Linked DNA regions of Drosophila melanogaster. The protein of the gene in region 3 interacts with the protein of the main gene of each other region in a pairwise test. Each region holds a gene or a part of one and is shown on either strand. Other genes may lie near its edges. The genes, in order: mura, CG4306 and CG5445.

Region 1 (3,759 bases), on a different chromosome or scaffold from region 3:
GATAGGTTGGTTGGTATTGTAGGCAGTTCGAGGATTAAACGTTTAAGACTTGCGCTGAGATTCAGGTGTGCAGTTTGCATTTTGCAGATTACATTTGCATTTGCGCTTGCAGTAGTTGGTCAGTGAGTTTGAGATACAGATACGAATATGGCCAGATACAAAAGTGTCAACGGCACGGCACGGCAACGCAAGGGGCAGATGGCAGTCTTATGTGGTACATACGGGGATGTATTTAGTATACACTTTCGGTTTAGTTGCTTTCGGTATCAGTATCGCTATATATTGGTTTTTACGTGTTGCTATATACGAGAGTCAATAGGGGAAACACTTGATGATCGGTATTCGTTTGAGAGACGTGTGTGTTAAAGAAGCGGGGCACGTCTGGCCGCGGCCGTTAACAATGCAAATTTACCACCAAAACCAGCAATAAAATATTGTATGTATGCTAAAACAAAGAAAATAAAAGTAAAAGAAAACATTGCTATTACATTCAGTTGAGAAACTAATTACTTGGGTTGGTTTAGTTTGGTTAGCAATAAATGTATGTATATGTGGAATAATATTAAAATATAGATCTATATATATAAAGCCTGGTTTTAATTGCGGCCAATGAGTATTAATGCCAATGTAATGCAAATTAGACGTAAAATATAGGCAGGCAGTACAATATACAAATGCTTGTTTATCATAACGATAATGGTTGTAATTGTGGTTCAATATACAGTTGCAGTTAAACTAATAGTGCTGTAAACTATTTTTGGTTTGTAGTCTCTGAGAAATGGTTACTTGAATATGTTGAAGTGGAGTAAAGTTTCTTCTAAGAAGAAGGTTAGTGTTGCTTAAAACAGACATTTAAGTAGAAATATTATATATATTATATAATATTATATATATTATATAATGGAATTCTATAATTTGTACCCCAAAGATATTCTCCGCAATTATATAGTGATATATTCTTAGCATAAGAAGTTCTTTTTCTTTTCATAACATAAATTTCGATGCTTTTAAAATGGAAGCACTAAGATTTTGGAAGCACCCTCTTCGTATAACGACTGTGTCACGGCATAAAACCCCTCTTTGATCAGGGTATTTGTGGTAAATATTATTATAAAGATAAGATAAGTGCATTTCTAAACATAGATTATAAGACTTAATGCAGCGATAACATATACTTATGTATGTATGTATGTATATAAAGAGCGACCTCTTCGGTGCTCTCCTTCAACATTGTAAATAGACTACATTTCCGTAATTTAACTATTATTTTGACCACAAATGTGTGTGCGCGTTCTTCTATGCATACTTGGGCAGGGTCGGTGTTCGAGTTGGGGTCACACTACGCCCTCTCAAAATTAAAACAATAAATTATAAAAAATATACGCATATACACACAAGGAAGCAGGCATCAAAATATTCGCTTTTTCCATGGAGTCCGGACCCCAACACACATACACACTCACACCGATGCACAAAGAAACCGAGAGAGGGAGAGCAGAGAGCGGCACTGAGAGCACGTGAGAGGACCCACCTACTGTGCATACATGTGTCTGTTGGCAGCTCCTATTGTTGTTGCTATTGCGTAGTCATGACAGTCAACTTCATCGAATGCTCTTTTTCGCTTTTCTTAGTTTCGTTTTCTTTACACACATTGATTATATGAATATATGGATATGTATACCAACGAAACTCTTGTTGGCTAGCTGGTTTTTGGCAATTACGCTGCGCTGTGGCGTTTCAAAACACGATGATGGGGCTAAAAAAATGTGCCTTTGAGGTATAGACACTGGTTAATTTGCATTGACTGCTGCCACAACATAACTGCACTTTGCACTCACACACACACTAAGATATGTTTTTCAACGCAAAGCATTCGGGGCGGGGTTTTAATATTGCTATTGAGCTACAGGCAGAGTAATCCGAAATATTAAGAATAATAATACTACACACCAGACGCGGAGCTCCCGACTCGACGGCAGACAAAGACGCAGTGTGGTAAAATGTGCCCAGACCAGACGGGGCGCTCCTCTCTCTCACACTCTCTTTCTCTCTCTCGTTTCCGCTGCGAGTGTAGATATATGGATGGAAAATCGAAACTCTGTGGCTGTGGCCAGCCCCCGCGGCCCCCTTTTGCTATCTCGCTTGCTCGCATGGACAAAATCAACACAAGTTCACACACATACAGGCACACGGATGTGAACTCACAATGACAACCACTTCGTCACCAGCAGATAAAAAAGTGCTGGCCTTAAATCAATTGCGTTTTATGTAATTCCACTACATTCGTACGTTACGAAAACAAGCACTATTCATATTACACGGTATACATTATTACTTCCTATCGAGTCCAAATTGCTAGGCAGGAAAGGTCTTAAATTTTTACGCTTTATGGGAGTTTACCTTGGGTTCGACCTGACAAAGAGTGTGGCCGCGGCGAGACTGTGAGAAATTACCAAGTGGTGTCTGTTATCTTAATCCCAAATACTCTAGAAACATTTGTATACTAGAATTTGAGATTTAAGCATATTATAAAAGAAATTTATTTATATTTAACTAAAAATGCTTCTTAATATTCGCAAAACAGTTTTTTAATAGCAAAGTAAAGGAACTGGATTTTATTTTAATAAGTGTGTATTCTATTTTTTTGTCATATTTACACGTTCACAAACACGGCCACACTAATCTCCACTGAAAACGCTACTCGCATTTAACTCTAGTTGAGAAAAACAAGATTTATTAATAAAAACATTTTAGCTTGCACCTAAAAGAGTGTGCGGTACTATAAAACTAATCGTTTAACAAATCGGCAATACGAAAATGTAAGTATCTGCACCACATTTTGCTCCCTAAATGGTCTAAAACAGCTCGCTTTTCTCGACAAATAAAAAAAAACAGGGCGCGTGCCCAGAGTCTCGCCGGCGAGGGTGAGAAGGAAAAGGACAACAAGGAGAAGGTCGCCAAAGAGAAGGACGGCAAGGCGACCAGCGGCTCCTCGCGCAGGGACCGCGAACGCAAACGCCGCGGATCGGCGTCCTCCAGCAGCGACTCCAGAAGCAGGTAAATCAGCCGGCAAAGGTCTTTCCCACAAATGGCTGCCATCTGCCAACCGGAATAAGGGTTACTTTTAAAAGGAAGTCCTTCTTCTTCTGTAAAACGTAGCAGATAGTACGGGAAGAAAATAGCCTTCGAGCGAAAAGATTTTGTAAAAATTCACATACCATATATGGTAAAATTTCATCACAGTTAGGAAGTGTTTTACTTTGTACCAGCTTCATTGCCGTTTTCTTGGTTACGAGAAGTAAATAAAACACTTCACTTTTTCCAGCACATCGGACAGCAGCTCTTCGCGGAGCAGTTCCGGGTCATCGCGTTCCAGCTCAAGCAGCTCCAGCGACTCCTCGAGCTCCTCATCATCGTCGTCCAGCGATTCGGATCGCAGCGAGAAGAACCGAAGACGTGGCGGCGGCGCTGCTGGCAAAGACAAAGACAAGGATAAGCCCAGCGCCCGATCACGTTCCCGCTCTCGCACCCGTTCCCCCAGGCGTGTCTCCAAATCTCCAAGACCGGGCAGCAAGGCGCGAAAAGAGCCGGAGCGAGATCGCGATCGTCGTAGTCGGTCGAGGGATCGTGCCCGCCGTGCTGGATCCAACGATAGGGCAGCCGCCGATAGCAATAATGTTAAGCGGGAGCGTTCTCGCTCAGCCAGTCGTTCACGATCGCCACGCCGTCGTGGTCGCGGCTCCGTTGAGAGGACGCCGC
Region 2 (3,399 bases), on a different chromosome or scaffold from region 3:
CACTCGCAGTTAAAATCGCATAAATCAACACAAAGTTATGTTGTCATGACGACCATGCCAGACCTCTTAGCTCACCAACTCGTGTCGCTTGTCCTGTTCTGATGCGATCTGGTTTCAGTTTTGGCCAGAAACCATGTCAAACTGGCCAGAGTTCCGCCGCAAGCCCCACCAACATCCATAGAAAACGTGCAACGAATTCCGCAATAAAATCGCAAAAATCATTTTAAATGCATTCGCATATATTCGCGCAACAAACGGCTGTCACTGCGGCAACCCGAACAAACATAAGCAAATTGTGCTTTTCCCATGATATGTTACCCATCATGTCACAAATATTGAAATCGAAAGCCAAACGGTATGGTTTTTGGTGACGGTCGTTGCCCATGTCTTTGTTATGATTTAAAAAAATTTTTTTAAGGGTAAAATTGTTATGTAAACATTAAGGGCACCCGTTTTTTTTAAGTTAAACCAACGTGAAACTTTATAAAAGGAACTAAAATCTACTTAGAGAACTTAATCAACCGAAATTAAAAAAAAAATAAAGGAAGCAAATATAAAGGAAGTATAATTGTCACTTAATATAAGAACCGAATCCTCTCACGCTGCAAATTGAAAATATATATTTGATGCTATTATTTCAAAAAGGGTAGGCGTGATAATTTTGGGTGGTTTGTTGGGGTTAGAGTGGGTGTGGCAAAAAGTGTTTTGGCATATCGATAACAATTTACAAAACTAATAAAAATATGAAAAAATATTAACACGTTTTTCAAAAGTGTGGGCGTGACAGTTTTGTGCGGTTTTAGGGCGTTTTTTTTTTAGCAAATCGATAGAAATTCACAAGACTAATTAAATTATGAAAAAATATCCAAACATGAAAAATATCAAAATTTTCAAAAATGTGAGCGTGGCAGTCTTTGTCATTTTTAGGGCGTTAGAGTGGGCGTGGCAAAGAGTTTTTTTTTTGCAAATTGATGGAAATTTACCAGAATAATGCAAGTATGAAAAATATTAACACGTTTTTCAAAAGTGTGAGCGTGACTGTTTTGTGCGATTTTAGGATATTTTAGGAAATATCGCGTAACGTAAGACCAGCTAGGAATTGAATAACGAGAGGCAATAACTTGAAAAGTTCAAATCTTGTCAGAATAATGATATCTATGACAAAAGACTATCAATACACAAAATAAAGGCCCCTACGCATATAACAAATAATTTATATATTTTATTTTACAATATTGTTAAATAAGACGCACACGTATAAGACGCACGCATAAGTATGCCGACTAGTGTACATAATAATACAAATAAACATAATAAAACACAAACTTCGACTTACCTTCGCGCTGTCCGAACTCATTTTACTCAATGACAACATGAAGAATTTTAAGCACTCTGAATTACTATTGAAAATTCATTGGCTTCATTCATTCTTTGAACACATTCAGTTAGTTCATTTCGATCGCCGAATATATACGAAGTGAACGCAAAAAGAACGGGACCAACTGAATGACATGTATTCTGAATACGAAGTATAACGAATGGACAAAGAGAATGGTGTTATGCAGCCCTCTGGTGCACAAATATGCTCTCAGTAGACGTTCAACCTGAAGGCAGATCGTATCGCTTGGAGCTGTCAAGTCTAAATAAATATATTCATATATACGGGTATACATTTATAGAATGAACTACGAGTGTCTTATCGGTGTTCTAAGCTGCCTATTGGTAGCTCTCCCCAAAGGAAATTGCCACAGCATCAGTGGTTTAAATTCCACCTTGAATCTACCAGAGATTCGAGGTGACCAGTTCCTGTACTTTGGATTCGGAAGCAATATGCTGATCAAGAGAATTCACATCCAGAACCCTTCGGCGGTAAGAATTGGTCCGGCCCTGCTACCCGATTATCGATTGGACTTTGCCTTGGAATCAGCCGGTTGGAGCGGTTCTGTGGCCACCATCGTTCCCACCCAGGGTGATCATGTCTGGGGAACCCTCTGGAAGATCGATCTAAGTAATCTGCCGGATATAGACAGGTAAGTCTACGATATAGTATATGCCGTCTTGATAGGTTCCATTGTCGCTGTACTGCTATTATAAAATGTGTCTTATAAAATCACTTGAGCGTGTAAACCAATTACGAGGATCTATATTTCTTAGGACGGCTTAATTTATTTAGATTTATAATGCCTCCCAATTATATACTTTTTCCAGTCAAGAAGGCGTTAGTCAAGGCATTTATGAGCCTCGCACCGTTTACGTAAAACTCCATGGGGAATCTGAATCAACTCCTGCCCGAGCTTATCTACTGACCAAGCAGCCAGAGAGCAATCTGTACGAACTGCCTAAGGACTCCATTCCCTTATCCAGACAGCCCTCGAAAACATATCTGCAATGTCTCGTTAAAGGCGCTATTGAGAGCTCCGTTCCGGAGGATTATGTTCAGCGATTGAGGAGCATTAAGCATAATGGACAAGTTAACTCCTATCTGGAACGAAAACTGGAACTGGGAGGGGTAACCCTTTAAGTAATCAAAACATTAAATAAATTTCATAGTGCCTTTGACATTTTTATCAAAGATTTCTGAAAATATGTGGAGATTCACCTAAATAATACAATATTAATCAATACGTTTAATAACTAAATTATCGTCTTTATTGTTACACTGCAGCCATGAATGAATGAATCTTTGAATCTTTTGTAATAACATTCAAATTGTGCCATGTAATATTGCTACGCGAAATAAATCGCTTAAATCCATTTTAGTTTTATTTTACCAATAAATGTCTTCTTGTGCCGCATTTGTCATTTTTTGAATTCACAAATTCACAATTAAATTATCAGCGAATGATGATGGCTGTGGGAAAAAATTGGTCAGTGGTTCATTAGATCATTAGAATTGATTAGACAAGCGAAAATTTTAAGCACTGAAAACAGGTCCAACTACTGTGTAGTTAGTTTTCGAACTGATCGAAATTGATCATGTTTCATTTTTATTTGTTTTTGTTCTGAACGAAACTAAATTGATTAACTTTTCGCAGCATTCAAGAAACTCGCAAAGCTTTTTCATTTAAAACGATAGACGATCAAGTTAGGGCAGTGAATTTTGAGAATAGAGATCCATGTAATCATTAGAGAAATCTTGTATTTTGATTTTAAGTTTTATTATCTCAGAATGTAATGTAAAGAAACTTAACTAGTTTAGCTACAACAATGGGATATTTTTGGAATGTAAGTAAAATGCGTACTCTTCAAAAGCATTCCTAGAGAAGTTATCTTTATAATGAATTTGCAATTGCCCGTCTGAAATGTGTCTGCACTAATCAAATATGAATTGATATTTTCAACTATGTTCACATTTTTAGCTTCTAGGCTGTTCCCAGTCATTTATTTAGCTTCAAACCA
Region 3 (3,759 bases):
CAGCGCCCTGGACTCTTCGTCAGAACTGGACGATGTGACCGATGGTAGCTTGGAGGTGGAGGACTTTGGCGTGCTGAGTACGACCTACAAATCCCTAAAGATCGCTCTGCGAAGCATCAAGGGACTCAATTGCATAATCAAGTGGGTGGCGGGCATCAAGGACAGTGCGACCCAATTTAACACGGACGTGGTCGTGTGCGGCGTCACCGCCAGCAAGGATGTGACCAAATTGATCAACGCCAACAATAAGATCCTCAGCACTTGCAACGACCTCATCAATCTGAGGTCCAACACTTGCCCCCAAACGGACGACGAGGAGACGAAGGTCTCTGGCAGCTGCTTTGTTAAGACTCTGCGCAAGGTGTGGTCCCTAAAGAAGCAAGTGGACAATGCCATCAAGCTGGCCAAGAAGATCCCGCAAACCGGTCCCAATGCCGTCGCCTGTGTCTCCGATGCCGTCAACACCCTGACCACCTACTACACCGCCTTTCCCCAGAACATCATCAGCTGCTCCAAGCTGACTTCTTAGGGGTTTAGTGCCCGCAATTGATTCGAGCATTCAATAAAAATCCGTGTTATCACAGTTTTTGCTAGTTATTTAATTTTGTTAGAGGAGAGAAAGCCTTTTTATTACTATTCGTAACTAAATTTTTATAACCGTTACTCGTAAAGTAAAAGGAAGCGTTTTCATATAGTCTTGATTAGGATCAATAGCCGAGTCGATCTGGTATATCGTATATATGATATTTTTTATATTTTTATTAGTCTTGCGAATTTCCATCGATTTGCAAAAAGTATTAAGTGGAATATAACAAGTTGCTCTATAACATACCTATATTTGTATATTTGTACAATTTATACAATTTTTAGTCAGAGTAAATTAATAGTAATTCAATTATAATACAAATTTATATTTTATTGAGTACAGAATAGTTAGATAATTGTTTAGTTACTGTTAACCAAATGTCTGCACCCCTAAACGAAAACCAGTGCGAGTGTACTTTCTATCACTATTGAATATTGATAAAAATGGAAGTGTGACAAAAACAATATCTCAACAGATATGATCACCTTAACCTAGGGCCATGAGACAGGTTTGAAGATAAAAGGCTCTCTCTTTGGTATAATTAGTTTTTTAATATACTCGATACTTCTTTTACTGTAATGCTCATGCTTATTTATAAATTAGATTTAAGCCACTTTAAATATTAAAAAGCTGTCACTCAGACGTTGACAACGTAGATAGGTGACTTTTCCAAGGGTTTTGTTTTGTTAAATAAAATACCCATTGATTTCTTTGAGCGATTATGCATCGAATGCATCGCGTCGATATATGGGAGTGCTTGCGGTGGGTGGTGTCGGACTTACCTGAGGAATCCCTGTCCAATCTGGACAATCTGGCTATATGACTATCTCGCTATCTTCCTTTGTGTGTCCACGCTGCATAGATAATGTCAAATTAGTTTCGGACTTTGTGTGGTGGTTTAATTAAAGCATACATATCGCCGGCACATTGGTTTTCCAAAGTGTATGTGCAAATCGAACCTCCGAATCGCCACTTAACTGATATGGCTCCGGCCAATCGTCTATATAAACAAACCCCACGGATCGGTCAGCAAACATTCGCCAGTGAAACCATCCACCAGTAACATGAAAGTACTCAACGTCTGCCTCTTGGTCGTGGCCTCTGCCAGCTTCCTTCTGGCCACAGCGAACGTAAGTCAGACAACCTTATGAAGAACTACTAGCAAATACAGTCAAGTGCCATCGTTATTAGAGTTTGAAAAAAATCCGAAAAGTGCAGCAAACAAAGATTTAATGAACAGAATCGTCGCTTAAAGCAAATATATTTTGTTCAATTTTTTTTCCGAAGTGCTTTTAAAACGTGTGCTACTTGAAGTCAAATATTTTGACAGTTATTCCAAAATCGAATCGTATTCCTAACTTGTTTTAGGCCAGTGCCGTAGGTGCTTTCGAGGACTTCGAGCCCTACACCGATGCCGAGCTTAAGGATCTCTACGCCGCCGAGTTGATGGCAATGGAGGATGAGTTCATGGGCGTCGAGCAGTTCGGCTTCATTGGATCGTGCCGCAAGATTCTGTGGGCCGGATACAAGGGCATCAACGGCACCAAGTGCATCGTCGAGGAGGTGGCCAATGTGCTGCTCACCTGCACCAACTACGTAGACGACCTGAGCACCTGCACCGGCGATATTCCCAAGGATATCCAGGCCATGCTGAACAATGTCAAGCAAATGATCATCACCAGCAACAAGATCATCAACATGAAGTCCGAGCTGTGCGCCTCCACCTCCAGGAGCGTCGTCTCCTCCACCAAGAGCTTCATGCGTTGCACCCTGAAGGCCTTCTACGCCACCATGTCCCTTGTCCGCCGCATGAACACATTGATCAAGCAGGGCGCAGCCCTGCCCTTCAACACCTCTTCCTGCTACGTCGATGCCACCAAGAAGGTGGTCGACGGCTGCAACGCCTTTGTGCCCAACATCAATACCTGCATAGCCAGCATGACATAAGTTGGTAATAAAACCATGAAATTATGAGCAAAGCAGATGCTTTCTTCCTGATTTGGGAGTTCGGGGTGTGACAACATATCTTATACACCTTTCTAGCCTGTATAGTGTCTCAGATCACGAGATACCGACGGACCGACAAACATGGCTTTTTTTTGCTGTTTCAAACTTTTAAACGAATGTGACACATACAGAGCTTTGGAAATCGATGTGCTCATTATTACTAACTGACTTATTTGACTTTAACCACCTTCAACCTTATGTTCTATACCCATAAAAAAGGATGTTATATGTTCAAAAATCTTAATTCTATTGCCAATAGACAGACTTCCTGGATATTCTGTACTCGATGATTCAAATGATGGGCGCCAGCGGTATCAATGGGTCTGGACTCCAACAAAAGCAACAAATAGAATATGAAGGGAGTAAACACGTTACTCGTAGAGTAAAAAGGTATACTAGATTCGTTGAAAATGTATTGGTCTCCGACCATGTCAAGTATACAATACGTCGATACGTTCCGACCAAAATTCCTTAGCCACACCGAGTTGGTTAGCGCGGTGGCTGGAAATTTTAGGTATAAAAATTGATTTACAAAATTAAGAAAAACTTACCACACCGCCAACGGCAAAGGAAAACATGGGGCCCACGATGCCACGCCCACTCTACCGCCCACAAGCCGCCTAAAACTGCCACGCCCACACTTTTGATCAATTTTTCTTATTTTATTTTCCAATTCCTATCGATATCCCAGAAAAATAATAAAATTTCGCGCTCGCATTCACACTAGCTGAGACACGGTTATATAATTATCGGGGAACTCGACTAAAGCATTCTCTCTTTTGTTTTAAATTATATATATGTATTTATTGTTTCATTCGTTCGCTTTTTCATTCATAGATGTGTTGTATGTATTCGTGTATTTATATTATTAAAAGTAATATTGTTTGAGCCGCGTATATAAAAACAAATAACAATAAAAAATGCTTAACCAATCAATTAAATTAATTCCAGTACTAAATAAATTCAAGCCAAGTCACAAAAAAAAATGTCAAAAAATAGAGAGTATAAGTGATTAAAATACAAAACCGAAATAGAACTTAAGCACAGCAGCTAAGATTAGATATATACGTTTGATTCGCCTTGAGATACTGTACTGCCCACTAGGAATAACAATATTCGTTTTGGCGAAAAAAAAAAAAAATATGGAGGTGCAAAAATGATTATGC

What was found.
Region 1: the proteins of CG5445 (region 3) and mura interact in a two-hybrid assay, tested with the Drosophila melanogaster proteins (one large-scale study listed by BioGRID).
Region 2: the proteins of CG5445 (region 3) and CG4306 interact in a two-hybrid assay, tested with the Drosophila melanogaster proteins (one large-scale study listed by BioGRID).

What each region holds. Positions count from the first base shown.
Region 1 is NT_033777.3:9,549,366-9,553,124, forward strand, and holds the start of mura (murashka), read right to left. Parts: upstream 1,974-3,759; 5' UTR 1,951-1,973; intron 446-1,950; exon of another isoform or gene 1-445. Other genes in the region: RnpS1 (RNA-binding protein S1), read left to right, coding at 2,818-2,819, 2,896-3,057, 3,326-3,759.
Region 2 is NT_037436.4:18,461,350-18,464,748, reverse strand, and holds CG4306 (uncharacterized protein), read left to right. Parts: upstream 1-1,585; 5' UTR 1,586-1,680; coding exon 1,681-2,030; intron 2,031-2,208; coding exon 2,209-2,521; 3' UTR 2,522-2,792; downstream 2,793-3,399.
Region 3 is NC_004354.4:17,280,585-17,284,343, reverse strand, and holds the start of CG5445 (uncharacterized protein), read right to left. Parts: upstream 1,849-3,759; 5' UTR 1,717-1,848; coding exon of another isoform or gene 1,651-1,716; 5' UTR 1,500-1,650; intron 1,441-1,499; 5' UTR 1,369-1,440; intron 583-1,368; exon of another isoform or gene 530-582; coding exon of another isoform or gene 1-529. Other genes in the region: CG8661 (uncharacterized protein), read left to right, coding at 1-529; CG8664 (uncharacterized protein), read left to right, coding at 1,651-1,716, 1,955-2,533.